4 linked regions of the Tamandua tetradactyla genome follow. The protein of the gene in region 1 interacts with the protein of each later gene in a pairwise test. Links are inferred from orthologs where the notes say so. Each region holds a gene or a part of one and is shown on either strand. Other genes may lie near its edges.

Region 1 (7,465 bases):
CAGATCCTCCTCTTATAATAAATCTAGAAGGCAGGCTGTATTTTTAGCCTCTTTTGCAGCAAGGAAACCAAAGCTCAGAGAGGTTAAGAAATCTGCTCAAGGTCACAGAGCTAATAAGTAGCAAAGCCTGGCCTCAGTGCAGGTTTATCTGGCTCCAAGGCCTGTGCTCTATTCAACGTGCTCCACTGTTAGGAACTGGAGGAGCAAGGAAAGGGTCACATGAAGAAGGGCAGATGGAAATGAAGTGGGTTAGCCTGGAGAAGAGAACGTTAAGGAGAAACCAAAGGATCAAGTAGAGCAGGACTTAAACTCTTTGTCTGCTATGGGGGGGGGGGGGGGTGGATAGAGAGTGGGGTCCTAGATGAGCAGCAAACAGATCTAAGATCAACAGAAGGAACATATTTCTAACAGCCCTGTTCAAAGACTCAGCAACCTGTTAGGTGAGACAGCGAGACACCTGAAGATGGCTGAGGCTAGGAGCACTAGTCAGGTGTGCCACAGAGGGTCATGGAATGGTCATCTGCGTGGGCACTGGATTCAAATATGTGCATTTGAATCCTGGCTCCGTGACTTAGAAGCTGTGTGACCCAGACCCTTGGCCTCTCAGAGGCCACTTGTTCTTCTGTAAAGTAGGGGTAATAACACCTGTTTCCTAGGGTTGTTTTGTGGATCTAGGGGTACAAGGAGATTGAAGCACTCGACACAATACCTGCCAGGTGCTCAGCCCTGGTACCTGGTAGCCAGTGGTACTCTTAGGAGATCAGCTTCCAGACCATCAGGGGCTTCTTCCCTTAGACTTCATGAATCTGAGTCTAGTCCTTTCTAAGCTTCTCGTAGCGTCGTTCCTCCTGCTCAGGACTTGCTTCAAGACAGGGAAGGATGGGGCTCAGGGAGAGACTGCTCTGGGAGTAAAGGGCATGGGGTGGCTCCTTCTCACCTGGCACCACTGCCCACTATGGCGAGCAAAGAGCAGCATCTATCACTTAGCTGGGCACAAGGAGACACTCAAACAACATGAGCCAGCACTGCCCCAGCTTCTGACAGGCTCTGACTTCAGAACGTCCCACTTAGGTGCCTGGGAGCACAGCATCAACAGCTTTCCACCACTGGCTTGCCAGATTTAGCAAAGAAACACACAAAACATCAGTGCAATTTGAATTTCAAAAAACAGTATTTCACATGGGCCATGCCTATACTAAAAATTTATCCTTATTGATCAGAAATTTAAATTCAACTGGATGGCCTGTATTTTATCTGGCAACGCTAGCCCCTCAGGACCGCCCAACTCTTAATGTTTCTGACTGGTAGCTACTAGGAGCCTGGGAAAAGGGCCAGCCTTTTCATTCTGGACATCAGAAATCAGCACAGCTCACACCTGTTGCAGGACCTGAAGTACCAGGTACATAAAATTGCTTTAAAAAGGTTCAAATGGAATAAGCCCCAACCCCTGCTCTGATGGACAGAAATAGCCAGGGCAGAAAGTCAGCCTAACTAGCCTGACACCCAGGAAAAGACATGGCTTTGGAGTCTGACACTGTGGGTTCGAATCCAACATTTAATCTCTGTGTGCCCTTGGCAAGTTACTTATCCTCTCTTAACTACTTTGCTCATCTGTAAAAAGATGACAATGCCAGTTATGCTGGCACACCACAGACAGACCATAAATGACAGTTCTCCTGTCTTCTCCATTCCTGCAGCTCTGTCCCTGGCCTGGTTCTCTCTCATCACTTTTTCTATGCAAAGCTCTAATGGACAAAATTTTGAATACAGGCAGGCATATAACTTCTGCACTAACTCCACATCACAGGAACAAAGTGGGTACTGACCCCAAGAAATCTCCCAATTAAAGATTAAACCTAGCCCCCTTCCCTAGCCCCAGCCGATGACTGGAAGCCTCAAGGGAACTTGCAGAAGCAAGTATGATTAAGAAGGGAAATCTGCCCGGTGAAACCACAGCACAGGCCATGCCTAATCATCCAACATGGATTACGTGTCGTTCTGGAACATTCGTCCTTTGGGTTCCTTTAGTCTTTAGTCTGAGACAGGGGGTGCTAAATACGTATCGTCACTCGCGAGTTAAAGGAGAGCATGGATACGGTCTCAAAGGAGGCTGCGCCAAGACCTAAGACGGACAGGTTTGGCCCAAGGGGCACCCCTTCCAGTCCAAAGTTAACAGCCCCTGGGTCAGAAACGGCCAAGACGCGGGTCGGAGAGAAAAAGAAGAACCTCCGCTGACCAACGTGATCGAGCGGAGGACGCGGCACAGGAAGTGGGGACACCCCAGGAAGCGCCACCGCATTTTCCCAACTGCACTAACTGGGGCTTTCTGCTTTTAAGTAATTTTTATGGGCGGCCGTGTTTCTTAATTACGAAATAAGAAAGCTGGGAAGCCGCTGGTCTGGAAACATCTGCTTTCCATTGCCTGATTCAGTAAACAAAGGCGGAGCCAAGCAGCCCACCCCAAAGCCTTCACGTGAGAGGTCTCGCCCCTCTCGTCCCTCTCCCCGGCGGGGGGGAGGTGTCCTCCTCGTGGCCCCGCCCCCGGCTCCTGGCCCCGCCCCTGCCCCGCCCCCAGGCCATCCTCCGCCTCGAGGGAATGCGGGGCGCGCAGGCCTCAGCAGTCCCCACAGAGCGGGCTGACTCGGAAAGGGGCGACCTTTTTCCTCCCCACCGGCCTCCAGCTCCCCTTCTCGGTCTGCCCTGCTGACCTTTCCGTGGCCCCTTCCCCCTGCGAGGGTCTGTCTGGCCACCCCTGGCTCACCTGGGGTCGGAACTTGCCCGTTCTCCCCGCCTCTCTCCCAGACGCTCGTCCTCTCACGTCTGCGCTCCTCGGCCCCGGCAGACGCCCCAAACGCCCACGGACCCGCCCTCGCCCGCCGCCGCCACCCCGCCCGCCGCGCCCATCGCCACCTTCAGGTTCACGGCCGGCAGCTCCATCCCGCCCGCCGCCGAGGACACCTGCGCGGCCGCCGCCGGGAGCTGTCGGGCTCGGAACTCGAGAAACGAACTTGCCGGCCCCGCCCGGCCCGCGGTGGCGGCTCCAACCCCAACTCGGCGCCCGGGCCACGTGGGGCGGCGCGAGCGGGCCACGTGACTGAGGCCCGGTTGCCAGGAGACGGCGTCGGGCTTCGCGTGCCCATCTCCACGCCTCTGGCTCCGGCCTCCGCCCCGGGAAACTGACGAGTATGCAGCAGGTGGTGGCACCTGGGCTGATGGGACCACTTGCAGCCAGGAGGCCCGGGGGAACTTGCAGGTGTCTCATCCCCGAAGTCACCTCTCTGCCCCTTCAGCACATCAAGGTGGAGACTTTACAGTACCGACCTCGTAGGTTTTTTGCAAAGATAAATGAGTTAATAAGGTAAGGGCCGTATACAAGCTTTTGTTATCAGCACACAAGGGGCCCACTGCTGGAGCCCACTTAAGTCAACGAGCCTACCAAAAGTTTTAGAAAAATCTAACTGGAAACCCAGCAAGAAGAAGAAGAGTTGAGGAGAAAGAGATCCTATGAAACACTGTCTGCACCTCAAGCATGCAGAAAGCAAGTGAAGAAAGGAAGAGTCACCACTGCCAATAGACGGAAACAGCCCATCAGCTGACGAGTGAATAAACAAAGTGTGGTATATACTGATGGTGGAATACTATGTAACTGTAAGAAGGAATGAAGTTATGCTATATGCAATAATATGGATGAGCCTTGAGGACATTGTGTCGAGGGAAACAAAAGGACAAATACTGTATGGTCTCACAAATAGGAATTAACTATAACGAGCAAACTGTGAGAGTGATTTGAGAGCATAGGTTATCAGGAGATAGGAAGTGGGTAGAGACTGCTTAAGGATACAGAATGTTTAACGAAGTTGATTGTAAAGGTTCGGAAATGGATAGCACAATACTGTGTGAAGGTAGCACAGTATTGTGTGATTAACAAAGCTGAGTGTGATTATGGTTGAAAGAGGAAGGCTAGGGTCATCTGTGTCACCAAAAGGAAACCTAGAGGATGAAAACAGGCACTATAACTTAATGAAATTTAGAGTGGACGATGACAATGGTTAATTGTAAAAATATGAGAAAGGTTTATTTTTTATGAACTAGAACAAATGTGTCCTTATTACAAGGTGTTAATAATGGGGTGGTATATAAGAAAAAATACAATTACTGCAAACTGAAGTCTATAGTTGATACAACCATTGTAGTGTCCCACGTAGGGGGGAGGGCAGTGAATTCACCTGCCAAGTTGGCGTAGAGAGAGAGAGGCCACATGTGAGTGACAAAAGAGGTTCTCTGCAGGTGACTCAAGCATAATTTTAAGTAGGCTTAGCCTATCCTTTGCAGGAATAAGTTTCATAGGGGCGAACCCCAAGATCGAGGGCTAATCCTGTTGATTTGGTTGTCCCCACTGCTTGCGAGACTATCAGAAATTCCCCACATGGGGAAGTTAAGTATTTCCTCCTAGATAGTTATTCTGTGGCACTGTAAAATACATGCTCACAACAACCCTATGGTGTAGATTCTGTCCTTACCTTCTTTACAGTGACATTAAGAGACTTTTAAGTGGCTTGCCCGAAGTCACATCACTGAAACCGGCTTGAGAACCCAGGGGTCTGGTCCTAGAGCCAGCACGTTTAACCATCGAGCTACACTGGTTGCATCGCAGGGAAATACGCCCCTGGGCTGAGCTAGGAAAGGAGGGAAGACAGGCGCTGATGAGGCATAGGGCCAGGTCTGTGGGGACACTCTGCAGCTCGCACACTGAGGCTGCATTCATTCGGGCCAGCTGGGGCCAGAGGCATGGGGTGGGGGTGGCAGGGGGCAGGAGCAAGACCCAGCTGGCTGGGGGCAGTAGGAGAGAGTGGGCACAGAGACACAAAGGAAAATGGAGCTGTCCATTTTCAGAGGAGCCGGGGGCCCTGCCACAACCTCTTCCTGACCATGGAAGGACAAACAGACCCCCACAAAGCACATTCTGCAAGGCTTTGGGGGCATTTTTTAGTCAATATACTTTTGGAATTCAAGTCTATGTTTTCCACATCCCTCACTAATTCTGTCTGGCTCAGCTGAAAATAAAAAAGTACCTGTTTATCTTTGTACCCTCAAAGAATCTGACACCTAGAATAGGTTCATTCATTCTCTCTCTCCCTTTTTTTCCATTCATTTAGCAAATGGTGATTGTATATCTACTTGGGTAAATGCCCAGGGGTAGAATGGCTGGATCTTATGGCAGGTGTGCATTTAACTCTTTGAAAAACTACTAAACTGTTTTCCAAGGTGGTTGTGCTCCCCCAGTTTACTTTTCTTCATAGTACTCATCAATCTCTGGAGTTATTGCCCTATCAATGTATTTATGTATTGCCTGTCCTTCCAAACCAGACTCTAAAGCTCCAGGTGGACCCTCGATCTCAGCACTTAGCCCTGTGCCCAGCATACGGCAGCTGCTCAGGAAAACAAAGAAACCACAGTTGAACCACCAATTATCTTGCATGGCTTCCTGCTCGGTCCACACAGTTGGCTAAGCAAAAGGTGGCTGAAGCAGCTACAGCCTTTCCTTTCCTGTGTTTTTGTGTGTGTGTGTGTGTGTGTGTGTGTGTGTGTGTGTCCTTTAGATAAACTATTTGGGGGAGCTCTGTCTTGCCTGCTTCCAGCAGTAACCTGGGGCAAGTTGTCAAAGGCTGAGCCTCAGGTTAAGTTGGGGAGGTGTGCTGGTTTGAAAGGATGTATATACATTTTACCCTAGAAAAAACCATGTTTTAATCCTAATCCCATTTTGTAAAGGCAACCGTTTCTTCTAGTCCCTATTCAGTACTGTATGTTTGAAAATTTAATTAGATTATCTCTCTGGAGATGTGACTCAGTCAAGAGTGGTTGTTAAACTGGATTAGGTGGAGATGCGTCTCCACCCATTCTAGGTGGGTCTTGATTACTTTACTGGAATCCTGTAAAAGAGAGATTCAGAGAGAGCAGGGAAGGACAACAGAACACCACAGACCCACAAAGTAGAGAGTCCACCAGCCAGCAAATTTGGGAGATGAAGAGGGAAAACGCCTCCCGGGGAGCTGGAGAGGAAGCTAGCAGATAACGCCGTGTGTGCCATGTGCCTTTCCACTTGACAGAGAAACCCTGAACTTCATCAGCCTGCTTGAATCAAGGTATCTTTCTCTGGATGTCTTAGATTGGACATTTCTATAGACTTGCTTTAATTGGGATCTTTCTGTGGCCTAAAAAATGTTAACCTGCAATTTATTAAATTCCCCTTTTTAAAAGCCTTTGTTTCTGGTATATTGCATTCCAGCAGCTAGCAAACTAGAATAGGCAGGGTCACATATGATCATTTGCTTAGCCAACCTAGCTCGGCTCTCCGAGTGCTCAGCAAGCAGTGCTGACCAGCTGCTGTATGTACCCCGCAGTGGCTTTCTGCATCCCTCATGTATCACTGTCATAGGCAGGTATTGTGGGGGCGGGCCTGGGGGTAACTGCCTGTTGAATCGAAGGGTCAGGGAAAGGTGGGACTGAAAAGGGGAAGGAAGATGCCTGTATTAGTTTCCTGAAGCTGTCATGATGAATAACTAGAAACTGGGTGACTTATAACAACAGAAGTTTCTTCTCTTACAGTTCCAGAGACCAGAAGTTCGAAGTCAAGGTGTAGGGTGGGCAGGGCCGGGCTGCTTCCAGAGGCTTTAGGGGAGAATCCTTCCTGTCTTCCACCAGCCTCCCCCTCCCCAGCTTCTGGTAGCTGCTGGCATTCCTTGGCTTGTGGCTGCATCGTTCCTATCTCTGCCTCCACCATCGCACGCCCCTCTCTGTGTCTCAATTCTTCTTTCTTTCTTCTGTAAGGACGTTGCCATTGGATTTAGGGCCCCCTAAGCCCAGGATGACCTCATTTTGAGATCCCTGACTTAATTACATCTGCAAAGATCCTTTTTCCAGAGACAGTCATGTTCACAGGTTCCAGGAGTTAGAATGTGGACGTGCTGCGGTGGCCCCAGCAGTTCTGACGTGGGTCCCCACCCGCTTTGCATCCCAAGCAGGTACATCAAACTGAAGGACATGGAGCAGAGACAACAACCCAAATGCTGTTGGAGATGCACACACACCTGCGCGGAGGCACAGCCACTCGCCAACAGCATACTGGAGAAGGGCCCGGGAAGGCCCCTTGGTGGCTCCAGGATTGCGGCTGGAATTCTTTCTAGAAGACTTTTCTCCAGTGTTTCCTTTCAACCATCACAAACTTGCCAGCTCTATGTGTTTTGGCCAAAGGCCTGGCAGAGTTGAGGATGGCCTGGACGTTTGGACCACCAGTGTTACTTTTTGGATCTGTGCCCATAACCCTCTCTCTCCTCTCTGGAGGGTCAGCTGCAGTGAGATGGGGGCAGGAGAAGGAACCCAATGGAACCTTGTAGGGTCACAGTTGAGGCAGCTCAGAGGCTCTCTTGGGCTCCCAGACCTCACTCCCCATCCTCCTGCCCAGTGT
Region 2 (8,357 bases), on another chromosome or scaffold:
TCTCTGGGACGCACGGCGTGTGCCGTCCCTGGGGCCTCCTCCCTGCTGCCACCTGCTCTGCATCCTGCTGGTGGCCGGTCTGCGTGAGGGACCCCTCGCCTGGGCCTGGTCACTTTCCCTTGAGGACAGCTCCGCCAGGTCCTTGCTTGCAGTTCAGCAGCCGGGGAGAAACACAGGACACTCCTGAGGCCCACGCGCGTCTTTCCAGCCAGATGCCAAGAGGGCGCCTCCTGGGTTTCCAGCACGCTCTTCAGGGTGGACACAGCCCAATTCACCAGGCGTCACAATCAACAGGATGTCCAAGCCTGACGGTTCGGCACCTGCCTCGCCAGCTGGCCTCCCCTGAGTGCCACTTTTTGTCCTTGTGGGGCCCCAGGGAAGACACCTCCCTTCTCTGGAACTCAGTTTCCTTAACTGGAAGATGGGGGTCTCAGAACCTGCTTTCCAGGGTTGTCGTGGGGACCGACGGCATCAGGGTGTCCCCAGCGCCAGGCCCAGTGAGGATCTGCACCCCCTGCGTGTTGGGCTCTGGGGTCGGGGAAGAGTGTGACGCCTGCAGCCCGGAGGAGGTCACAGCCAGAACAGTCACTTTCAATCTCTAGTGCCGGCACAGACTTCACGTTCGCTCCCCAGCTCGGCCCCCTGGACTGCGTGACTTTGAGCAAGTTGCCCCCAACCCTCCCCATCAACGTTCACTCTCCTCATCTGAAAAATGTGGCCAGTGACACACACACACACACACACACACACACACATCACAAGCCTGCGGAAGGGATGAAACAGGGTGATAAAGGAAAAACGCTGGTACACAGCAGATGTAAAATGAATGACAGCTGTTAGCATCAGCAGTCCACTCTTGCGGGTCTGTTACTGCAGGGCTGTGAGGCGTCACTGTAAAGCGCTGTGCACATGAGCTGTATGGTTACAAGGGCCATGTCGAAGCAGAGCAGGGGCTCCAGATTTTGGGTGGGGGTCACAGCTCACAGAACTCGAGGTGGAAGGCGCCTCTGATGGAAAGTAATTTCTGTTCCTGGCCGACCACCCCAGGTAGCCTGGACGTGGCCACTCTTAGGCCCTACCCCAAAGCCCCTGGCCTAAATAATTCCAGGGTGGAGCTCAAGCATCTATATTTTAAACAGGTTTCCTTGGTAATTTTGCGTAATTCTTTTTTTTCCCTTTAAATAAATGCTGTTGTCCAGAGTAAAGACTTCCAACCAAACTAGGAGATGTGCAATTAAAAGGAGAAAATAAGTGAGGTTCAAAGTGGGTTTTTTGGGTGAATTCCTCTCCCTCACTGGGGCCCAGGCTTCCCAGCAAGGAGGGTGATCTGGTGAGCTCTAAGGCTCCTCCTGGATTTAGGGTCTAATGTCTCAAGTGTGTTTATATGACCCATGAGCAGCCATCAGAAGGGAAGAGGCCGAGGGAAGTGTGCAAATGTTTGAGCAGGACTGTTGTGGGTTTGAGTGGCAGGATATAATTAACACTGGCCTAAGGGCGGGGGGGAAGGAGGGAGAAACTTTATTTGAACTGAAAATTCCAGGGGTATATGGATGGTTTCAGGCACAGCTGGATCCAGGGACTCAAAAGATGCATTCTCTCATTTCCTTAGTATTGGATTCATTCTCCCAGGGGCTTTGCCAGAGAATTGCACTGGAAGTGTCTAAGGAAAACACCCATGCCCAGGCCATCTGTGGAGACCCAGTTCCCCTTTGAGGGTGGACAGCTATTCCATCCAGGATGGTGGGAAGCTAACACGGTCTCCGGAGTTCTGTAAAAAGGTTTCCTTGTGGCAGGCAGGGAAATGTGTTTATTTTCTTCATGTGGGTCTAGTTTGTGCTGTCTTGTTCTTGTGTGTGTGTGTGTGTGTGTGTGTGTGCGCACACATACGTGTAAGCATGTGCAAGCTCGTTCTACTCTTCTACCCACACTATCAGAATAGGAACATAGGACTTCAGGAAGAAGGGGTGTGGGGTATGGTTTCTAACATTTTGGCAGATTTAACCTGAAGTGGATCAGACCAGAGGCTCCCCCAAATGTCTCAGTGGAAGGGAGCCCTTGAAGGTGCTCCCTTGTGTGAGCTGGGGCCAGAGAGGTTGCAGGACTGGGTTACTCATGGGTCCTTATGAACCAAAACCTCTGGGCTGCATGTGAGAGGACAGGGTCCTCTGCCTGCTTTACCCACCACCTTTGTGCCACCCTCTGACAGGCTCACCCCAAGGGGACAAGAGCTTCGAGTTGAATGTCTTTTCAGAGCTCGGCCGTGAGGGGTGATGGATGCCAGAGAGAAAAGGTGGCTCTGTCCTGGGAGGGTCCATGCTGAAAGGAAACATCCAGCAGAAGCCATGGCTCTGTCTTGGGAGGAAGGGAGGATGAGAAAAGGAAAGAGACAGGAAGGCGGGAGGTGGCTGGAGTCAGGTAGGAAGACAACCCAAGGACAAGAATAAAAATGTACAGTAATGACCTTGAACAATGGACCTATGGAAAGTTGGGGTCATGGCTCCCAGCCACATCAAGTGACACATTCATCTAGTCCAGTTTCTGAGCATTTCTGGTGAGGAGGACCTTACCACCTTCCCAGGTCATGGTTGGTTTGACAGGATGCCCCAGAGAGAAACCCTGAGCATCCTAGGGCAGGTCAGAATCTTGAGGACCCACGTGAGAAGAGAGCCCCAGAGCACAGTGTGATAACAACTTCCTTAGGGCAGAAAACAAATAAATACAGTCATTTCAAGTCGTGATCATGCTGTAAAAGAACTAAGCAAGAAGCTGAGTTTCAAACTCAGCTAGCGGAGGGGCTACCTAAGGTGGGCAGTTAGGGAGGGCTTTCTTAGGAGGTGATGGAGACAGCCATAGAGACAGCCAGGGAGGAGAGTTCCGGGCAGAGACAATGGCCAAGTGCAAGTGCTCAAGCAGGAAAGAGGTTGGCATCTTTCTGGAACAGAAGAAAGAACAGTAGGAACGAGGACGACAGAGGCAGGAGGTGAATTTTGAGAGGCAGTAGGGTCTCTTGTGAGCCATGGAATGACTTTGGATTTTACCTGAATGAAGTCCCTGTGGCTGCCTCGCTGAGTGGAGCAGATGGGGACATGTGCGGCAAAGGGAGACCAGGGACAAAACTGGCGGCACTGTGTCTTCTGATATTGTCAGCCAAGACACTTAACTCCTCTGAGCCTCCCTGAAACCCACACATGTGGGCGGCACGGAGGCAGACTTTGGTTCACCCTCTGGAGGCATTTTCTACCAGCTGGATGGAACAGACAGGCTTGGGGGTGGCGAGCTCCTTGGCATTGTAAATCTTTGAACTGAAGACATGTGATGGATGGGGCTCTGGTTGTGACCCTAACGCTCCCTGGGCCACAGTTCTAGACCTGTCTCTGTCTTCATCTTGCCAAGTGACCTCAGGCTGGGACTTCCTCTCTGTCTGCCTCCAACTGACAGAGCTGACTAGTGATCCCTTATGGTGCTCCCACCTAGACATTCCCAACAGTCCATCCTCACTCTTCGCAGCAACCTGCAGTGACCACCCTTGGGAGCTGGAAAAGGGCCTTCCTGTCTCAGTCCTGCAGAAAATCCTCCCAAACTCCATTCATTCCAACTCAAGCATCCTGGGTGACCTTTGGTAGGAGTTTCTCATCCTGGACAGGGATATTTTTTTTTGGAGGCAGTTTGGATAGCCCCGGAATCAGGCCTTGCTCCCATGGGCTGCCACCCATCCCGTTAAACATATAAGAACCACCTTCACCCAGCAGAGTCCCAGAGTTTGTGCAGAGAACGATCTCGTGAGCATCCTCTCGGAACCGGTGAGTGGTTGGCTGCTCCTGCCAACACCTCACATGGCGGCCTTCAGAAGGTCTTGGGGGTAAAAGGCAGGAGAATGGGCCTCTTCGGTTAGCTAATATTTTAAACTATAGCAAATTAAGAGATATAGAGATTTCATTAACAGAACTGTCAAAACTTGTGAGCAATGCAGGGTCATGAAAGTGATGCCCATTTATTATTGATTCTTTATTCAACAGCAGTGGTTGAATACCTGCTAGCTGCAGGGTTTCAACTGGGGGCTCGGGTGTCCAAGCCACGGCCCCTGCTCTAAGGAATTCATAGCTGTGTGGGAGAAGAAGACAAGTCATACAGGCACTAATATCCAGGACTCTCTCAGAGAATGAAGGGTGCCAGGTTGGGTAGGGGGGAGGGGGACTCCTAACACAGACGCTGGGGAGGACCATAGAGCAAGTTTCATGAAAGGCATGATATCCCGCAGAGGCCTGGGGAACCATTAGGAATCAGTAGATGAAAAGGCAAGGAAGAGGAAAGATGTCTCCGGCATAGAGAAGTGCTTGTGAAATGGTTTTGTGTAAAGATCATGGACGTGGCGTCAAGTCTGGCTCCATCTGGAAAATGGGTAACCATATCTATCTCAAAGGGATGTTAGTATCAGAACGGCAGGCGGCTGATGGAATATTCCTTTCGCTCTGGGCATTCTCAATCCTGTTCTTTCCTGACTGTCCAGGTATCAGGCCAAAAGATGTTTCAACTTTGGAAACTTGTCTCTTGTGCGATCTTCTCACTGGAAACCTCAGCTTCTGTCTTGAAGACTGATCGATGTGTCAGTTACTGATGAAGAATGATCTTGTGTGACGTGAAGAAGACAAAGTGGAACCTGTTCTTGACAAAGAACTTGAAACCTCTCTTGAAGACTCTTCAGGGTGACGTGAAGAATGTCGTGGACAAAGTGGAATGTTGTTGACAAAGAACTTGAACCTCTCTTGAAGACTCTTCAGGGTGACGTGAAGAATGTCATGGACAAAGTGGAACCTGTTCTTGACAAAGAACTTGAACCTCTCTTGAGACTCTTCGGGTGACGTGAAGAATGTCGTGGACAAAGTGGAACTGTTGTTGAAAGAACTTGAACCTCTCTTGAAGACTCTTCAGGGTGAGTGAAGAATGTCGTGGACAAGTGGAACCTGTCTTGACAAAGAACTTGAACCTCTCTTGAAGACTCTTCAGGGTGACGTGAAGAATGTTGTGGACAAAGTGGAACCTGTTGTTGAGAAAGAATTGAACCTCTCTTGAAGACTCTTCAGGGTGACGTGAAGAATGTTGTGGACAAAGTGGAACCTGTTGTTGACAAAGAACTTGAACTTCTCTTGAAGACTCTTCAGGGTGACGTGAGAATGTTGTGGACAAAGTGGAACCTGTTGTTGACAAAGAACTTGAACCTCTCTTGAAGACTCTTCAGGGTGACGTGAAGAATGTTGTGGACAAAGTGGAAATGTTGTTGACAAAGAACTTGAACCTCTCTTGAAGTCTCTTCAGGGTGCGGTGAAGAATGCTGTGGACAAAGTGGAACCTGTTGTTGACAAAGAACTTGAAACGGTCAGCAACATCCTCCAAGGTGAGTTTGCAGAGCACAGAGGACCTTGCCGCTCAAGACTCTGCCTGCACTACCTGAAGCTCCAAGGGCTGCCTTTTGTCCCTGGTTTGCTGAGAGGTGGCTCTGCCATTCCTGGCTAATGCACTTATTATCGTTCTAGAACCAAGTAATGCTGCAATGAATATCCTTTATACAGTGCAGACGGGTAAATTTTTGCCGATATATGCATGGGATGAATTCCTAAAGTAGGATATCCAAAGTTCAAAAGGTCTGCACATTTTAAATTATGGCAGATGTTGACAAACAGGCCCTATCTTACCTTCCTCAACAGCCTATGAGAGTGTCTTTTTTTCCACTCCTTTTCTTTGCATTGGAATGGACAACTTTAAATGTTTTCCAGTCTAATAAATGAAAGAGTGTAACTCATTCGACTTTGCATTTCTCTGATCCTATGAGTCCCCTCTATCTTTGCATGTTTACTAGGCATTTGCATGTTTTATTCATATTAATAGCATGTTGCTCTGTTGGATTTTTAGATTTTCTGTGTAGATTTTTGATAACTCGTTGGAAATTAAGGGAACTAGCCTACCTAGCTAGCTTTATACTTAATCATGTCTCCTTTTTCATACAAATCTTTAAAAGAACCTGGATTTCTCTCAATTCTTTGGATATAATATAGCCACTAACAAACATTCTTTACAGGAGGAGGTAACTTGTGCATGTAGCTGCCTTTCAAACCTTATCGGGGCTTAGGCACTCTTCCAAAAGGAAGAAGGGACTCACTTGCTAATTTCACAGCAGGAGAAACTGGGACAGAAATGCATGGATCAAGGTCCTCTGTTGAGTAATTAACCCGATTTAGTAATATAACTAGTTTCATTTAAATTCTTATTCCCTATTTGTATCATTTTAACTGGCCAGATACTGTCCTTTGCAGACACAGGCTGCAGTTCTATATCACACTTCTTTCCTTATAGTCTTTGTTTTTCCTTGGATTAGTAATTGCCTTTGTTGTTTACCATACACACAGCCTTAATTCTTTTCACATGGACCATCCTACCTCTGCCGCATTTATTCCATCACAACCCCATTTTCTTCCATTAGAAACACTCTGTCCTTCTTCCCCCGTATGAATGATTGTCCTCCAGGCCTGCTGCAAAGCTGTCATCCTGGTACTCCCCTTCCTCACTTTCACAAGTTAGAGCTATTTTTTTCCCTAGATTCGAACTTTTCCATTTCTTTGCTTACTTTCTCAGTTGGGCCTCATTTTCAAACTTCTTCGTGTACCTCATTTAGGGCAATAGATTACCCTACCCCCAAATTACTGCTTGAAACTGGTGTACAATCAAGATTAATTGCTATACTTGATCGATTGCCTCATTGATGAATGATCAGTAACCTATTAGTAGGGAAGCAGCATGGAAGGAACAATAACTCCCTAGTGGTGTGACCTTAGGGCACATTTACTAAACTATTTTTCCTTTAGTTCCTCCTCTATAATGCTCAGATAATAACAATACCTGCTTGCTTGGGTTGTTACGAAGATTAAATGAAATAACATTGACCAATAGTCTTCTTGAGTAACTGGCACATAGTAGCTGCTTCCTAAGTGGTGCACGACACCCAACAGTGATTGCCTTTGTCAGGTGTCCTTCAGAAAATAAAGGATGACGTGAAAGTGATCCAGGACCCTGCCACTTGGAAACCGCTCAAGGAGAAAATCGAGAAAGTCGAGAACATGGTGGAAAGTGACATTTCTAAGATGGTTTCAACTCTAGAGAAGTCTTTGGGGTAAGATGGTGCTCCGTAGTGGAGGCTTTGCTCCAAGAAAAACAAGAGAGGGAATACATCGCTTTGGGGGTGAGGGTAGGTGTGGGATCAAAGACAGAAAGGTGGTTAAATTTGGCTCTTCTTACACAGAGCCCAGGTGACCTAAGGCCAGGTCTGTCAGAGCTGGAGGAAACTGGCTGCACAGCTAATCTGGGCATTTCGTGGGTTCCACAATCTAAGGGTCAGGGTCGAGTCTCCTCTCACCTTCCCATCCACTTGTCTGCTGGTGTCCGAAGTCTTTCTCCAAGAAATAAAACTTTTCCTTCTTGGAAGTAGGCTTGAGATAAATCCCAAATCCCTGTAGGGGCAATTTCACATCAGGTAGCCCCATGGAGTGGGTCCCACACATGGAGGTTTGGAGTCGACAGTTCTGGGTCAAATCCTGGCTCTGGCGCTTATTCTCCTTGCGATGTGGGGGGTAAATGTCATTCACCTGAGCCTCTCTATGCCGTGCCGTTAAATGGACACGATCAAGCCTCTGAACAAAGTTATTGTAAAGGCCAAAGGAGACATGACACTGATGTGCTCAGCATAGGGCCGTCACAAGGAATGGTGACAAGCGTGAACTGTGGGTTTTGCACAGGTTGGAACTTGGCAACTCCAGCATCCTGAAATTCAAGAGTGAAGTGGCTTCTGATGGAAAAGGCATTAACTTAAAGATCCCCGTCTCCACCGATGTCGCCTTGCACCTGTGAGTATGCATGCCTTTGCATCTGTGAGTGAGCATACCTTTGCACCTGTGAGTGTGCATGCCTGTGCACCTGTGAGTGAGCATACCTTTGCACCTGTGAGCGTGCCTGTCTTTGCACCTGTGAGCGTGCATGCCTGTGCACCTGTGAGCAGGCTGCCTTTTGTCCCTGGTTTGCTGAGAGGTGGCTCTGCCATTCCTGGCTAATACACTTATTATCGTTCTAGAACCAAGCAATGCTGCAATGAATATCCTTTATACAGTGCAGACGGGTAAATTTTTGCCGATATATGCATGGGATGAATTCCTAAAGTAGGATATCCAAAGTTCAAAAGCTCTGCACATTTTAAATTATGGCAGATGTCGACAAACAAGCCCCTATCTTACCTTTCTCCAACAGCCTATGAGAGTGTCTTTTTTTCCACTCCTTTTCTTTGCATTGGGAATGGACAACTTTAAATGTTTTCC
Region 3 (7,587 bases), on another chromosome or scaffold:
GATAACTATATGCAGATGGTAAGTGAGTCAAAAATCTAGGTTTCAAACTTTTGAGAAAGGGAGGTTAGTGGTACCATTAATAGATACAGGAGTCATAGGAGAAGATGCAGGCTTAGGGCAAAAGATGAATTTAGGTATATTATCTGATTCTAAGTATCAGAAGGAGATATTCAGTAGGCATTTGAAATTAGGGTCTAAGAGCTTAGAGATAAACAGAAGGAAAGATTACATATACGAAAGTATCCAGTACAAAGCCTGGGCCCCTTAGGCCCTCTGCTTCCGTCAGACCAAACCATCTGTAGTTTCCCAACAGAGTCAACCTTCCCATTTCTGGCTCCAAACTTTCCTATAAAACCAAGCACTTTTCCCCTACTTTACACCTGGCTAAATCCTAGTCATCCTTCAGGATGCTCGGGTATCATTTTCCCAAACCCCACTCATTTCAAACCAAGAGGATAGTACCTGTGTCTCATGTCTTTCTATATATGTACCCAGTTCCTAGCACCATGCCTAAAATAGTAGGCACTTGAAGTAATGACTGAAAGGGCAGATTTGGCAGTTGTTCAACAAGTGCTGCAGGGAGCTGATCCTCTTAGAGGTGACTGCTAAAGAAATGAACTTGGATGAGATTTTCAAAGGAGAGAAAGCAAACTAAGTGGTCCTAAATATAGGTAATCATCACGGAACCTCTTCATTCAGGGAGCAGTTCCCAACAATGGCTCTCAACTTCTTTAAGTTCCAAATACTTCATCTGTAACACAGAGATAATTCCTCCCACCTCATAGGCACTGGGAGCATCAAGTAAGACAGCATATGTAAAGATTAGTATAGAAGGCAGTCCCCACATGGCAAACGTGAAATTGTACTCCAGGAGATTAAATGCATTTTAGTCATAAAAAAAAAAAGATGAGTATAATGCCTGGCATACTATAGGTATTCAATTAATGTACCCTTCTTTACCCCAATCCCAACTGAAAGCATGTTAGAGCCTGCTTCTTTCTTTCCAACTTTAACGACCGCTATACTCTGAAAGTTAACCCAGCCTAGAAAAATAATGGACATTTAAGAGAGGCTAGCCAAGAGGGATGCCTTCCCTACAGCAAAGTTACTCAACCTCAACACTACTAACATTTTTTGGCCAATGATTTTGTTACGGATAGCTGTCCTATGCACCATGGAATGTTCAGCAGCATCACTGAATCCTACCCATAAGTGTAAGTAGCACTTCCACCCCACCCCAGTTGTGACAACCAAAAATGTCTCCAGACTTTACCAAATGTCCCCCTGGGGCAAAATCTTCCCTGAGTGAGAACCACTGCCCTAGCACTAACTGAAATTTCCATAGGGCCTAAATCCTTTCCCCGACATCTAAAGAAATCTATCATAAACTTGTTTCCCCTACTAACTGATTCTACCCAGTAAATTATGCTTAGACTTTATAAGCCATTTCTCTTTAAAGAGTTAACCTGAACTGGAAGTTATTTCGGTTAAGCATGTCATCTCAGGTGATACAGTCCAACCACTCAATGCATTATCATTCTCTGGCAAACTCATAAAATTCAATGAAAGCAGGAACTGTCAATTTTTGTATCTTTGCACAAAATTAAGAGATTTGTCCCAATATTCAACAGTGTCCAATCTTTTATTTGCATCAAGTATTTAAGCTCATGTCTACAGGTGCGAAGATGATACTGTATAAAACCAATTTTAGTTGCCTAAGGATGTTTACAAATTTAAATAGACACTAATGACATACAAACTGCATCATATGTAACTATAATTATGATGTATCACAAGCAAATATATTGCAACAAAATAAAAAGTTATGTATACAAACAAAAAACAAGAGAAAGTTGAAAAACAAAAATTGTATTAACAGTTCACTAGGGTTTTTTTTTTGGTAAATTGAAGTTAATATGTAGAGTATAATAATTAAGAACAGACTTGGAACCAGAATACCTGGATTCAAATCCCAACCCCACCACCTTCTAGATAAGTGACCTTGATCAAATTACTTAATCTCTCTATGTCTGTTTTCTCATCCATAAAATGGAGACAATTATAATAGCCACCTTACAGGATTGTTGTGGGGAGCGAATGAATTACAATAGGTATATTGCTGAAGCAGTGCCTGGGCATGCATATTTAAATATTAAATATTATTGATCCTCATTATTTTTAAGGATTTATAAACAAAAATAAGCATACCTTGGGTGGTATAAAGGCAAATACAATAGAGTAAAGTATCAATGAACCTGCACCCAAATGTTCTGATTTCAGTCGTTTAACCAGTTGTTTCATTTGGGCTTCAATTTTCTCAGCTGTAAAATGCGAGAATTCTTGTCCTCGTTAACTCACAGGGCTGTACAGTGAGATAATAAGTAGAAAAGCACTTTGAAAATGGATGACCATTACATATAAAGTATTATTTTACTAAGGGGAAATCTAAGGTTTATATGTTTGATGAAATAGCAGAAAAAACCTAGTATCTGTCTTCCAATTTGGTGAGGAAAGTTTTGTGAAGGAAACACTAAAAAAGGACAGTCAGAAAAGTATATGCATGCAACTTAGGTAAGTCAGAGGGCCTTTGCTTTACCTTACAGAGCATGAAAGCTTTAGATGAAAACTAGAACATCCTGAGAAGTTAAAAAAAAAAAGTTTATTTTCTAGGCATAAGATAGGCACACTCAACCTTTGAGGGTAGTAGGAATACATTAAAAGCATTGGCAGGGATTTGATATTTTGCCACATGTTACCATGGCCACACTACCAGGCCCCTAAGTGACCTTTTCTTCAATTTTAAGTGTTCATTATTTAGAGCTGAAGAACACTGGTGTTAAAATAAATAGGATACGACTTATTTCAGGAGGGCCCCAACAGGTTTAGTTTGTCTGGTTTTAGATAGAAAAATCACTGACTTTCCACATGCTGTTCAAAATCACCAAATAATTTTGATGTAGCTTTTTATACTTATTAAGAAGGGGAATTTTTTTACCATTGTATTTTTTTATTAGAGAAGGTGTACGTTTACAGAAAATCATGCATAAAATACAGTTCCACATGCTATTCCATTATTAACACCTTGCATTAGTGTGGTGCATTTGTTGCAACTGAAGAAACAATATTTTAATAACTGTATTACTAAGACAGTGCGTGGTTTACTTCAGAGTTCAAGTATTTTCAATAACTTTTTTTAAGTAAAAGTTGCAATGCCAATCCATGCGAGGCAGCTATCAGAGACAGAACTGTGTCCACTGCTGCTAAAAAAGTGCAAAGAAAAAAGAATAATCAACCTTTCCTATCCACTCAGCCAAATGTCAGCCCCGCAATGCCCCGGCGGTGGCGTTGTGGGTCCCTGGCAGAGGATCTTCAAAGTTGCCGGCTGTTAGAGTCTGTGCGAGGAGCAAGGTCAAGGCGCCCTTCCGCGACACTTTCCTAAAAATCCCCAAGAATTCGCAAGTGGTTGTCACTGCCCCAGGGTACAGCAAGCTTAGGGCCTCCTCCCCGGCTAGTCCTCGCGGAAGAGGAGGTAGCCGGCTTGGATTCTGGTCAGGTTCTCATGGGTCGCACCGGCCCAGCTGAAGCAGGCTAGCACGTGGCGCCCGCAGCTTGCCTGCCACCGCCTCTGCCCACAGAACGGACACTCTGATTGGCCAAGGAGGCCGTGAGTCCGAACCGCTCGGGAGCGGACAGCGAATGGGCCAGACAAATTGGGCGGGTAAAGAGGTCGCGACTACGCGGGCAGCTCCTGGGCGCCGGTCCCGCGCGCTGACCCCACACGGGCAGCAGGAAAACACGCAGCGCCCGGCCCGCGCAACCCCACGTGGGCCCTGGCTTGCGGCAGCCGTCGCCACCCTCCTCCCCACGTCGGGGAGCGCTCACCTCAGCGCTCGCGGCGCCTCCACCTTCAGCTTTTTGGGCTTTGGCTCCTCCTCGGTCGCTGCCATCTTCGCCTTCCCACCCCACTTGGCTTGGCTGCGCTCCACCCGCCTCGGCGCTCTGGCCCCGCCCCTGTCACATCACTGCCTCCTTTTCTGCAAAGCACGCCCCTCTCCCCGCCTCTTCAGGGCCTCGCCCAGTCTGGGCCTCTCCCGTCCACAACCAATGGTTTTATCCGTGGTCCCCACAACCAATACCCCGCCCCTTTTTGGCCCCGCCCCGCCTGCGGGGGACCCGAGAATGAGTTAGGCCGCGGATGAGCGCCTGCGCTGGAAGGTGCGAAACCCTTATTCTTCTAGAGGCTGGGTAATCTAGAAGATTTAGATCCTCAACCTTAAGGAACGTCTTTCATCTCGTTTAACGTCTTCTGGCTTTTTTTAATCTTTCCACTACTGCAGACCGAGTCAGTGTCTATGAAGCTGTTAATCAGGCAATCTCCTGAGCACTCCAACTACGGGGTCCTCACGGCCTTCTCAGCTGTCTCAGCCTAGGTCGGGAGAGGACCCGGCACCGAATCACTGACTGGCCCAGGTACCGGGGTGAGTGTGAGGGTGGGGACGGTGGGGGCAATCTGCAGCCTGCGGACAGCTCGGAAAATGGGGAACAGGCTGAATAGCTGGGGCTCCGGACTTCACCTTGGGCGGCGGGAGCGTCTCCGGTGCTGTGGGGAGGGGCCGCGCTCCTTCCTGGCCTCCCGGGCTTTGTAGCCAGCAGGGCCGGAAGGGAGCGATGTACCTGCGGCCCAGTGGTCTCAGAACCTCGGAACTGCGGGTTCAAGCTAGTCTGTCTTCACGCCCTGGAGCGGGAGAAAAGGTCTTGTCACCAGTATTGAGCTTGAAGCAACAACAGCTCGCACCTCAGGTCCGGGCTTCCGTTTTGTAGAACGAAACCCCTGACGAAGTTGAGCGGACGTCCTGTTAGAGGGTGGTGCCGGGATGAGTCTGGGATAGGGAATACAATACTGTAAGAAGGATGTGGCAGTTCTTCAGAAGAGGTGACAGAGAGCTAAACCGATGAGGTGGGAGGGAATACAGAAAAATTATGAGAGATGTCACTGGTTGGATTTGGGTTGAATTTGAAGCTGAAGTTTCTGGCCTAGATGACCAAGGAGAAGATGCTAACTCTAAAGTTGAGAGTTCTCACTTGAAGAAGAAGGAATTTTGTGGAGATCGGATGCTGTGTTTAGTTTAGAATATATCGAGTTTGAAGCAGTAGCTTAGGTGGAGATGGTAGAATAATTTTTAAAAATAATAATAAAAGAAGCCTGGGAATTAAACCGAAAAAAAACTTTCAAGGTGAGAGCCAAAACAGGTGAAGTTTCATAAAATAGCGTAAGAGGTATTTGTTTTGTATGGGGGAATTTTGCCAGTGACTTGAAATGCGGCATAGGTCAATAGAGGAAGTCTGAGAAGAGATCATTGGATTTAATGATTAGGAAGTCATTGATTGAGAGAGATGCTGCAAGTGTTAACTAACCCTTTATCATTTGGGGCAGGAAGCAAAAGATAAACGAGAGTGGTAACATGGGGAAAATATTTGGATGTTTTGTTTTGGGTTTTTTGTTGTTGTTTTTTTAAAAAAGATTACAAAGCATTATGTTTCCAAGCAGTAAGCTAGTAATTAATGTATAAAATTAAAGGTTTAAGAAAGAGAGGTATGATCCCAGAATTGAATGAGGGTACTGGAACCAAATTTACAAGTACAAAATTAATTTAGAAAGATAGGACACTTGAAACTGAAACTGTAGGAAAAGTGAAGCATACAAAGTGAATGAGAAATTAACTGAAACTTGTATATCTTTATATATATACACTTGTTTATCTTTAATAGGAAAGTTCTCTTTACAACAAGGTTAGTTTTTCTCACTGAGTTCTATGATTTTTACATGTTTCTAAACATTCAACATAATGTACTACTGAGAAACATGGCCCTTCTCCTTAGGGAAAACAAATCCTTTCACCTAGTTACCCAATACCATTTTCTCCTTCTTGGGGTCCTCTTTCTTTCACTTATTTCCTCTCTCCTACATCACAAGCCTTCTCACACCTTCTCTTCAGCATTTAAAAATATTCTTCCTCAATTTATGAACTATTCCCACTTATTTTCCTCTCTTTTCATCCCCTTCACAGCTTGACTTCTTGAATATGTCATCTGCTCTCCCTTTATCTCTATTTTTCCCACTTCTTGCTATTTATTACTCAGCCCACTGCAATCTGTCTTTTGTTTCCAGTATTCTACCAAACTACCACTGAAACTGCTTTTACCAAGATCACCAATGTCCTTTATGTGTTAAATCTCTCAGTGAGGACAAAAATTGCTTCTTACAGGATGAAAAAAAATCTTACTTTTCTTATATTTAAAGCACAGTTTACATATAGTACATAAACAAACATACCATATTCTGTGGTATTAAAATTTCATGGATAACTTGATTATAACCCAGTGAGACCTATACTGTAAGATAATACATTTGTGTTATTTTATATAACACTATATATATATATCTTGGGAGGTGGTTTGCAATTATGGGAGATGGTTTGCAATTATGGGAGGAAGAGTCTAAAAGGCCCATCAGAAGGATGATAATGAAAATAAGGTTAAGAAAAACTTAAATGAATAGACAGTTTCAGTTCTTCTTATAGCTTGACTTCTCTGTGCTACTTTTTGTTTACAACACGGTTCTTCTGGAAACACACTAACACACTCTAGTTGGTTGTCAACTTGGCTGACCTCTCAATGTCCATCTTTGTAGTTCTTAACACCTAATATATAAAATGTATTCAAAACTACTTGTTGAGAGAGATTTCAGACCGAGTTGAAAGGTTATGCTGGAGGTTGTTCTTGGGCATTATATAGATATTCCTTTTTGGTTTGTGGTGTGTTAGAGTGACTGGGGGGAAGTACCTGAGGCTGGTATGCTGTGTTCCAGAAGCCTCAATTCTTGGAGACGATTGTATAAAGATATAACTTTTACAGTGTAACTGTGTGATTGTAAAAGCTTTGTGTCTGATGCTCCTTTTTTCCAGGGTGAGGACAGATGAGTAAAATATGGATAAAAAATAAATAGATAATAGGGATAAGGGGTAGAGTAGATTGCATAGATAGAAATGTTGGTAATCAGTGGGAGGGAGGGATGAGGGGTATGGTATGTATGAGTTTTTTCTTTTTCTTTTTGTTTCTTTTTCTGTAATGATGCAAATGTCCTAAAAAATTATCATGGTGATGAATACACAGCTATGTGATAATATTTGTGAGCCACTGATTGTACATCATATATGGAATGTATGTGTGAAGATTTGTCAATAAAAATATTTAAAACAAAACAAAAAACTACTTTTTTGAGTGAATAAATGGTCAAGTATTGCCTGAGAAACAGATGAGTTAGATTCTTTTCTGGTCTCATTCTCTCACTTTGGATATAGGTCTTTCAGTTTCTCCATTCTATTACACATAGAGGGAATACATTTATTCTTTTTCAGTCACTGTCTAGCAGCTATATTTTGACTATTGTAACTGCATTACTGCTGAGTCAGCAGAATGTGTGTGTTCAGCATTTGGTAAAGAGCATTTATGAAGTTTTTAAGCTGGAAAATTCAGATGGGCCTGCCTCTGAACAGTTTCTCTACAGTTTTAAAAATAAGCTGGTAG
Region 4 (7,412 bases), on another chromosome or scaffold:
GACAGAAAAGCATTTCAGACAGAGGGAAGAGGGAGTACAAAGTCTCTAAGAAGGGACTGTCTTTGGCATGTTAGAAGACATGGCAGGGAGGCCTATTTTTTTGGCATTAATGTGAGAAAGGGAGAGAGCTGTTGAAATGATTATCTGAAAGTTCCCTGGGGCTTGGATCTTGCAGACCAACGAAAGAATTTTGGATTTTATTCTGAGAGGAGAAGCCATTAAAGGATTCTGCATTTAGAAATGATGTGATCTGAATTTTGTTTTAAAACAAACAAAAAGGGCTTCCTGAAAGATGGGTGGAAGTGGCAGACCAGTTAGCTGACTACTGAGATAATTCTGGTGAAAGATGAGGTTGACTTGAGATAGGCTGACGGCGATCATGGAGGTAAAACTGGGTCGATTCAGGTAGTCTGTAAATAAAGTAGAAGGATATGCTCATGGCTCTCAGGTGAGTTATGAGAGAAACAAAGGAGTCAAGGAGGTCTCTAGGTTTCAGGACTGAGCAATGGAAGAAGCCACTTATTGAAGACAGGGAGCTCTGGAGTAGGAATGAGGGTTTGGGTGGGCAATCAAGGGGTCAGTTTTGGACAGTTTTCTCTTTGAGACACGTGTTGGGAATCCTAGTGGAGACGCTAATGGGCAGCTGGATATGTGAATCTGGAATTCTTAGGAGAGGTTAGTGCCGGAAGTAGAAATTTGGGAGTTATCAGCTTCTAGAAGGTGGATGAGCTCACTAAGGGAGTGAGTGCAGACAGAGAAGAGGTACAATGAGTAGGTCCTGAGGTCCTCCAACATTTAGAGATAAGGAAAATGATGAGGACCCAGCAAATGAAATGGAGAAGAAATGGCTTATTCTTAGAAAGAGAATCAGGAAAGGATAATGTTCCAGAGATGCTGAGTAAAAAAAAACCTGTTTTTAGAGGGACAGAATAAGAGGATGCCAGCAAAAATGGCAGAGTAAGGACTGCTTAATTCTTTTCATCCACAAAAGCAATGAAAAAATTGGCAGAAATGGAACTCTAGAAACTAATCAAAGATTTGCAGCAATTGGGGAGCAGTTATCGAAGAAAAATGGCTGAATCTCAGTAAGAATGTTGAGTTTGTGTTTTAACTTGCTATAATCTTTTCTCCTGCTCTCCAGCCATGAGATAGACTTGAAAAATAACATACATAAAATATAATTTTCCAGCGTTTTGCTGGAAAGGGGAGCAGAGAAATGGGGATGGGGGTGAAGGTTGAGAGATATTATAATAATTCGGTAGGCTGATGGGAATGATTCCGTAGCGGAGTAAAAATTGGTAAGTGCCTCCTCTGTCTGTGCTATTAATGAAGAGACAGAAGGGAATTACTGGAGTATCATGCTTCTTATCTAACTGTGCCAAGCACAGGTGTCTCTGGTTATTGGGGGACTGTGTATGTATGTATGCGTCTACACACATGCATACCATTTCTGTGTGAATGTGTGTATAAAGTATAATACTATATTAAAATATTATGCCCATTAGTAAAGATACACAAATGCAAATTTTTAGAAATTTAAATTCTAAAATTTTTTAAAATTATGATGGCATTATAGGAACATTAAAATCTCAAGGCAAATAGATATTCGGAGTGAGGTACATAGTAAATGAAATCCGTATTTCAAATGTCTTCTTGATCACTTTGAATTTTCTGGCTGTTTTCTTGTCAGCTTTAGCTAGATCCAATCTTGCTCTTACCTTGTAGTGAGGCTGACAAAATTTTCATACCAAGAAGAGTAGAAATGACTGTTATTTATTATTTACCCTGCCTGTATTACTAGCATTGTCTTCCATTGGGAATTTTTTTGTTTGGCAGGTATGTTTTATTTTTATTTTTATTATGGAGAATTGTTAACATATATAAAGAAACAGAATAAGAGAATGAATCCCAATATACCCATCATTCTCTTCCACAATTATCAACTCATGGCCCATTCATTCTCCCCCAGCCCTGTAATATTTGAAAGCAAATCCCATACACCTGGAAATAATTCAGTATGTATCTCTAAAACATAAGGACTCTCAAAAAAAACATAGCTCCAAAGCCATTATCACACCCAAAATATAATTTGTAGGAATCTTTAATTTGTAGTAATGGGGGAATCTTTGCAATAAAAACCAGGTCAGGAAAGAGAGAAATGTATTTTTAGTACAATAAAGCTGAGGTCATTTTTCAGAAGGAGTAAGTTCAAAATCATATTAACCTGATGAAGATGCTTTCTTTGCATTGACTAGGTGGGGTGCATTTCTCTTTAAACTAGACTGCTGATTCTTTTTTTTTTTTAATTGAGAAATCTTCACACACACATTCCATACATAGTATAGAATCACTGACTCACTATATCATCACATAGTTGTGTCTTCATCACCATGATCATTTTTTAGAACATTTGCATCACCCCAGAAAAAAAGAAAGAACTCATACATATAACACATCTTACCCCTCCCTCTCATTGACCACTAGTATTTCCATCTACTTGACTTATTTTACCCTTTGTTCCCCCAATTATTAATTTTTTTATCCTTTTTTTTTTTCTCATCTGTCCATACCTTGGGTAAAAGGAGCAGACTGCTGTTCTGGAAGAAAATCTAGTGTGTGGTGGTGGGTTGTGTTTGTCTTCAGGTGCTTCAGGAGAGAATGCCCTGGCATTGCTGGTAGAGCAGGGCTGAGCTCGCATGGAAGCAGCCGATTCGCTGCCCATGGAATTCGAGTGCCATAGCCTCTCCCCACTTCCATCAGCAGAAACGGGAGCCCGCGAAAACCTCACCCTCACCCTCACCCTCACCCCGCTGAAGTCTGAGATACAGGGAGGGATGGACTGGAGACTCCATTATGCCACGGACAGGTGGGAGGCACTAGGCTGGAGGACCTGCAGGAACGCAGGCAACAGAGGGGGAACCGGTGGTCCCAGAGGGCGCAACGGACACGCTTGGAAGGCCCAACCCTTGAGGCTTGGTGCTCCCCTGCGGTGTGGGAAAAGGGAGCCAGCTGGTCTCTCCCTAGTTTTTAGCCCTGTACTGTTTGGGGGAAATTACTTGAAACGTCAACATTTTAACTTAATTTTTCCTCATAATTTACTTTTTTTTTTTTTTTTAGTGAATTATTTAGTGCAGGGAGGATGGGGGAGGCGGAGTTAGGATTTGGGCTGTGGGTAGTGGTGGCAGCGGAGCGGTCTTTGCAGAGAGGCCCCGGCCGTAGGCGGACACCCAGGCAGAGCAGCCGAGCGCCCCGCTGTCCTCCGGGGGCAGCCCACGGAGCCTCGACATGGAGCTGTGGTCACCCACATCCCACGCTGAGTTCTGTCCTTCACGGGGCACGGCCGGACACTCTGCGGTGAGGAGCGGGGAACCCAGGGCAGGTGGTCAGCGCGAGCTGAAGGGGCAGATGCCCCCATCCAATGTCTGCGCCAATGTAAATGACTTTCCCAGTAATTGTATTAAAATGAACGAGCCACTCTTTCAAAGAAAGTTAAAGAAATGCTAACACCAAAAATATCTCTGAACAGAGAAAGATCCTTTAGCTTGAATGTTCATTTTTATGAGAAATTCACTACATTGTTCTTATTCTTCTCTTTTCCACCAGAACTATTAACCACGGTGGGCAGAGCTGCAGACTCGCACTTGGAAACCCTCGGAGAGGAACCGTCAGGTGATCTCCGCGATGGTCCGCGCCTCACAGCGCCGCTCCGGCGCCGCAGGGGCCGCCTCCGAGGAAGTCACTGCTCGGTCACCGAACCCCACGCCCCACAAGACTCCTGGAGGGCAAGGACGAACGACTGGGGTCCTTTACCTCTGACCCTGCCGGGGCTCTGCTTTCTGTGGGAACTCGAGTGCTTTCTAAGGAAACTCGAAGTTTCTTATGCAAACTCGTTGCATAAGGCGGGGCACCGAGCAGCCTTCGCCTCGTCCTCAAAGCCGCGACGCTCTCCACATCCACCCAGGCCCGTCTCCTCCCTTCACCACCTGTTCACAGGTCCAGCCGGGCCAGCACCAGCGAGTAGATTGACGGATAACGCGCCTAAGGGGACCCGGCACAGACCGCCGCGCGTGCGCACGCGCACCGAACCCTCCATCGACCCGCCCAGCCGGGCCTGGCTTTCTCCAACCCCAGCACAAGGCTCTGGAAGGTGCCCGAGGGGACCTGCATGCCAGGGCAGCCTCTCATTGGCTCCTCTAGTTCCGCCCCTGGTTCCGATTGGCTGCAGGCCGGGTGCACGGACTGAGCACGCTCCCTGGCGTGGCGCAGCATTCGGTCGGCCACAGCGGCGCAGCCAATGGGAGCGGCCCGCTGGGCAGAGCCTGCCCTGCTAGGGGTGGTCCGGACTCTGGCTAGGTGGTAAACAGATCCCTCCCTCGTGCTAGCTGCCCGCGCTGCGGCGAACCCGAGAGGGACGCGGGATCTCCGGATCCTGCAGCCAGGTAAGGCTGCCGCCTAGGGCCCGCCGCATGTCCGAGGAGCCGTCCGGCTGTGGCCGGAGCTGGGCGCTTCAGCTGCCTGGCCCCTCTTGCCTCCTCCTGCAGTGACAGCGCGACTTCCCCTTCGCGAATTTCCACTACGGCGGGCTCCGGGGACGGGGCGCGGTGGGCTCGCCTCAGGATGCAGGGTGGGGCTCTGTGGCTGCCTCTCGTACCTGCGCCCACCTCAGCCCGGCCGACCCCGCCTCGGGGAGGGTACAAGGGTCGCGTGCAGGAACCCTAGGTCCTTGGAACGTGCAGGACAACTTCGGTGGCCGGCTCTCCCATGCCCGTGCCTCTTGGTCGCCAAAACAACTTTTTTTGCTAGGCTTTCTCATGATACTGTTTCTTTTTACTCCTGGACCCCAGATTCCCTTGCACTTGTAGCTTTGTGTCTCGGATGCAGATTTGTGCCTGAAACTTTGATTCACTTGGGGCCAAAGCCAGCTGTTGGATGTTAGCGTGGGGGATCTTGGTTAAGAGAGTCTGTCTTGGTCATTTCTCCCGTTTTTTTTCTGCTTTGGTCCTTCCTTCGACTTCTCCAAGCCCTGGGGATCTTGTGAGTGGTTTGGGCTTAATCTCCAGAACTGGGCCTTTCCCTGGCTTTGGCCCTATTCGCTGCAGAGGGTACGGCCCCTTCTGCTTTGGGGACGGGGGAACGCTGCAGTGGCAGGTCTGGATGTTGAGACTCTCCATTTGGTTCAGAGGGATAAATGTCCTAAAGGTTGAGAGGCTTGAGTGCAGCTTCCCAGCCTGGGTCAAGCCTGCAGCCTATTGAAAAACTTTTCTGTGCTCATTTGGTTTACATGGCAGAGCAAGGCGGAGATGGGCATGTTAGGCCTACCTCCTTGCTAAAGGACTTGAGCATGCATTGCTGCCAGCCTGTCAGGTGGCATGTTGTGGATGGGTGGGTCATTCTGGTAGGAGGGCTGTTGGGAAACTGTCTCTCTTGGAGGAGACAAAAGAGGAGCTGCTGACACAGAGGGGCAACATCTTTAAGACTCAGATGATGGCTTGGGGGAGTTTTGTTCTGCATTGCAAATAATGCAGATAGTGCGTGCTTGTTATAACTGTTGGCCTGAGCCCTGGCAACTCAAAGAAAAAGTGAACCTGGTGGTCTGTTTACCTCCCTCAGAGCCAGTCCTGTATGACAGGTTTCTCAACCTTGGAACTACTGATATTTTGGCCTGGGATAACTCTTTGTTTTGGGGGACTTCCCTGTCCATTGTAGGGGGTGTAGCAGCATCCCAGGCCTCCTGCCACCAGATGCTAAGAATATTCCTTCTCCCCTAGTCATGACAATTACAGACATCACTACATGTCCCATAGAGGGCAAAGTCACACTTAGCTGAGAACCACGATGTAAGGATCTTTTGAATATGTCCATGAGTAGTTGGAGAGGCTTTAGCAGAAGATAATGTTGTGTCCCCTGCCCTAAGCCAGCAGTAGAAGTTGTGTAGATTGGGCTTTAAAGGAGATCCTCCCTCTGCACCTGGGTAGCAGAGGTGAAACCTGCCAGCATAGAGATAGGAGGTAGAAACCATGGGCATTTACTGTGCCTGCTGGATGAGGGCAGCGATAGCTGTGTTGGGAGTGTAGAAGATGGTGGTTTCTGCCCTTGAGGACTTTTCAGAACTTTTGGGGCTATATATATGAAACACGTTTTAAGTAGTGAGCAGATGCCTTTATTGGTTTAAACACTGGTAGAAAAGCCAACTCAGTTATCCATTATCCATAAGTGGCTTTCCAAGCTGATGCTTCACTCACCCTTACTTTATGCTCAGATTCCTCTTGTGGCTTGTCGTGTGGGAGGGGGTCTGACCTATGTCTTCAGGGAGTGAGTGAGTGGCTGCATTTCATATGTGCGTGTGTGTTGTATTTGTGTGCACCATCTGCGGCTGCAGACTCAGAAATGTCATGGTGTAGCATGGCCACGGGTATAATTTGTGGAGCTCTTTTATGGTTGACTGAAGAAGCCATGTCATAAAGACAGTGTGCCATTTCTTCTTGTGCAGAGAAAGATGCTTTGCTTTTGAGGCCAGATTGTGCCTTCTATATAACTTGGAATATATCCCCCAAACTTCTAGGTCTCATGCTGATGGGGATATAGAAAAGATGAAAAAGGGGCGATTATTGTATAGGGCTTATGCAAGGAGAAACACCCCAAGCCCCTGACTGAGTTTCCCTTTCTTGTTGTTAATGGATCCTATGGATGTGCCAGGATATTCCTGTCACTATTTCTTGATCAGGTAGGGGGTCTTCTGGTTATGCTTTGTTGTATACAGAAAAGATCAGGGCAGGGAAGTCACTTCTCCTTTCGCAAAGATAAGTTTAGGGAAGTCTATTATAGGGAAGCTCCAAACTTGGCTGGATAATTTTCCAGCAAAAGCATGGACGCTGAGTCATTTTCTTTGTCAGTTGAAATGAGAGCTGTGTGCAGGATTAGACAGGGATATTTGAGTAGAGAGTTGTCTTGATTTGACAGTGGTGTCTGGAAATAGTTCGGCATTCCTGCTCAATGACGGGTAAGACCTTGGCACAGCCAGTGTTAAGGAGCTGGAGGGAGGGGGGCCTTCTGGAGTTGGACCTGGTGGGAAGGTGGAGCCTCCGGATACGGAGGTAGAACCAGCACATTGCTTGAGATGTGTGGCTAGTCCAAGCACTCTGTGAACCTGAATCTGAGTGGTATCCATTGGTCTCTCTGCAAGCATGTTGATTGTGGGGCTGTAGGTTCTTGAGCCCTTGACCTTTTGGTTTAAGAATAGAGGACCACAGAGTGTTTAAAACTGGAGGTGACCCTGGAAAACTCTTTATTCCTCATACCTGGGTGTAATTTTAGCATGTGCATGTATAGAAAGGGTCACTAAGGAGCTCAGTGTTTTTCACTCAAATTGCCACCTAAGGGTATCTTAGAATCTGCTGTAGATAGTGGCTGAT

What was found.
Region 2: the proteins of AGTRAP (region 1) and BPIFA2 interact in binary tests that used the Homo sapiens proteins (3 or more experiments, as listed by UniProt). The two-hybrid records come from large-scale screens. The link is inferred for Tamandua tetradactyla from reciprocal best matches to the Homo sapiens genes AGTRAP and BPIFA2.
Region 3: the proteins of AGTRAP (region 1) and AP3M1 interact in binary tests that used the Homo sapiens proteins (3 or more experiments, as listed by UniProt). The two-hybrid records come from large-scale screens. The link is inferred for Tamandua tetradactyla from reciprocal best matches to the Homo sapiens genes AGTRAP and AP3M1.
Region 4: the proteins of AGTRAP (region 1) and COQ8A interact in binary tests that used the Homo sapiens proteins (3 or more experiments, as listed by UniProt). The two-hybrid records come from large-scale screens. The link is inferred for Tamandua tetradactyla from reciprocal best matches to the Homo sapiens genes AGTRAP and COQ8A.

The regions. Positions count from the first base shown.
Region 1 is NC_135328.1:213,743,371-213,750,835, forward strand, and holds the start of AGTRAP (type-1 angiotensin II receptor-associated protein), read right to left. Parts: upstream 3,062-7,465; 5' UTR 2,938-3,061; coding exon 2,911-2,937; intron 1-2,910. UniProt on the Homo sapiens protein: Appears to be a negative regulator of type-1 angiotensin II receptor-mediated signaling by regulating receptor internalization as well as mechanism of receptor desensitization such as phosphorylation.
Region 2 is NC_135327.1:19,916,582-19,924,938, reverse strand, and holds the start of BPIFA2 (BPI fold-containing family A member 2), read left to right. Parts: upstream 1-5,273; 5' UTR 5,274-5,392; intron 5,393-8,357. UniProt on the Homo sapiens protein: Has strong antibacterial activity against P.aeruginosa.
Region 3 is NC_135339.1:22,542,650-22,550,236, forward strand, and holds the start of AP3M1 (AP-3 complex subunit mu-1), read left to right. Parts: upstream 1-4,084; 5' UTR 4,085-4,215; intron 4,216-4,337; 5' UTR 4,338-4,470; exon of another isoform or gene 4,471-4,478; intron 4,479-7,587. Other genes in the region: ADK (adenosine kinase), read right to left, coding at 3,883-3,947. UniProt on the Homo sapiens protein: Part of the AP-3 complex, an adaptor-related complex which is not clathrin-associated. The complex is associated with the Golgi region as well as more peripheral structures.
Region 4 is NC_135333.1:19,604,141-19,611,552, reverse strand, and holds the start of COQ8A (atypical kinase COQ8A, mitochondrial), read left to right. Parts: upstream 1-4,247; 5' UTR 4,248-4,439; intron 4,440-7,412. UniProt on the Homo sapiens protein: Atypical kinase involved in the biosynthesis of coenzyme Q, also named ubiquinone, an essential lipid-soluble electron transporter for aerobic cellular respiration.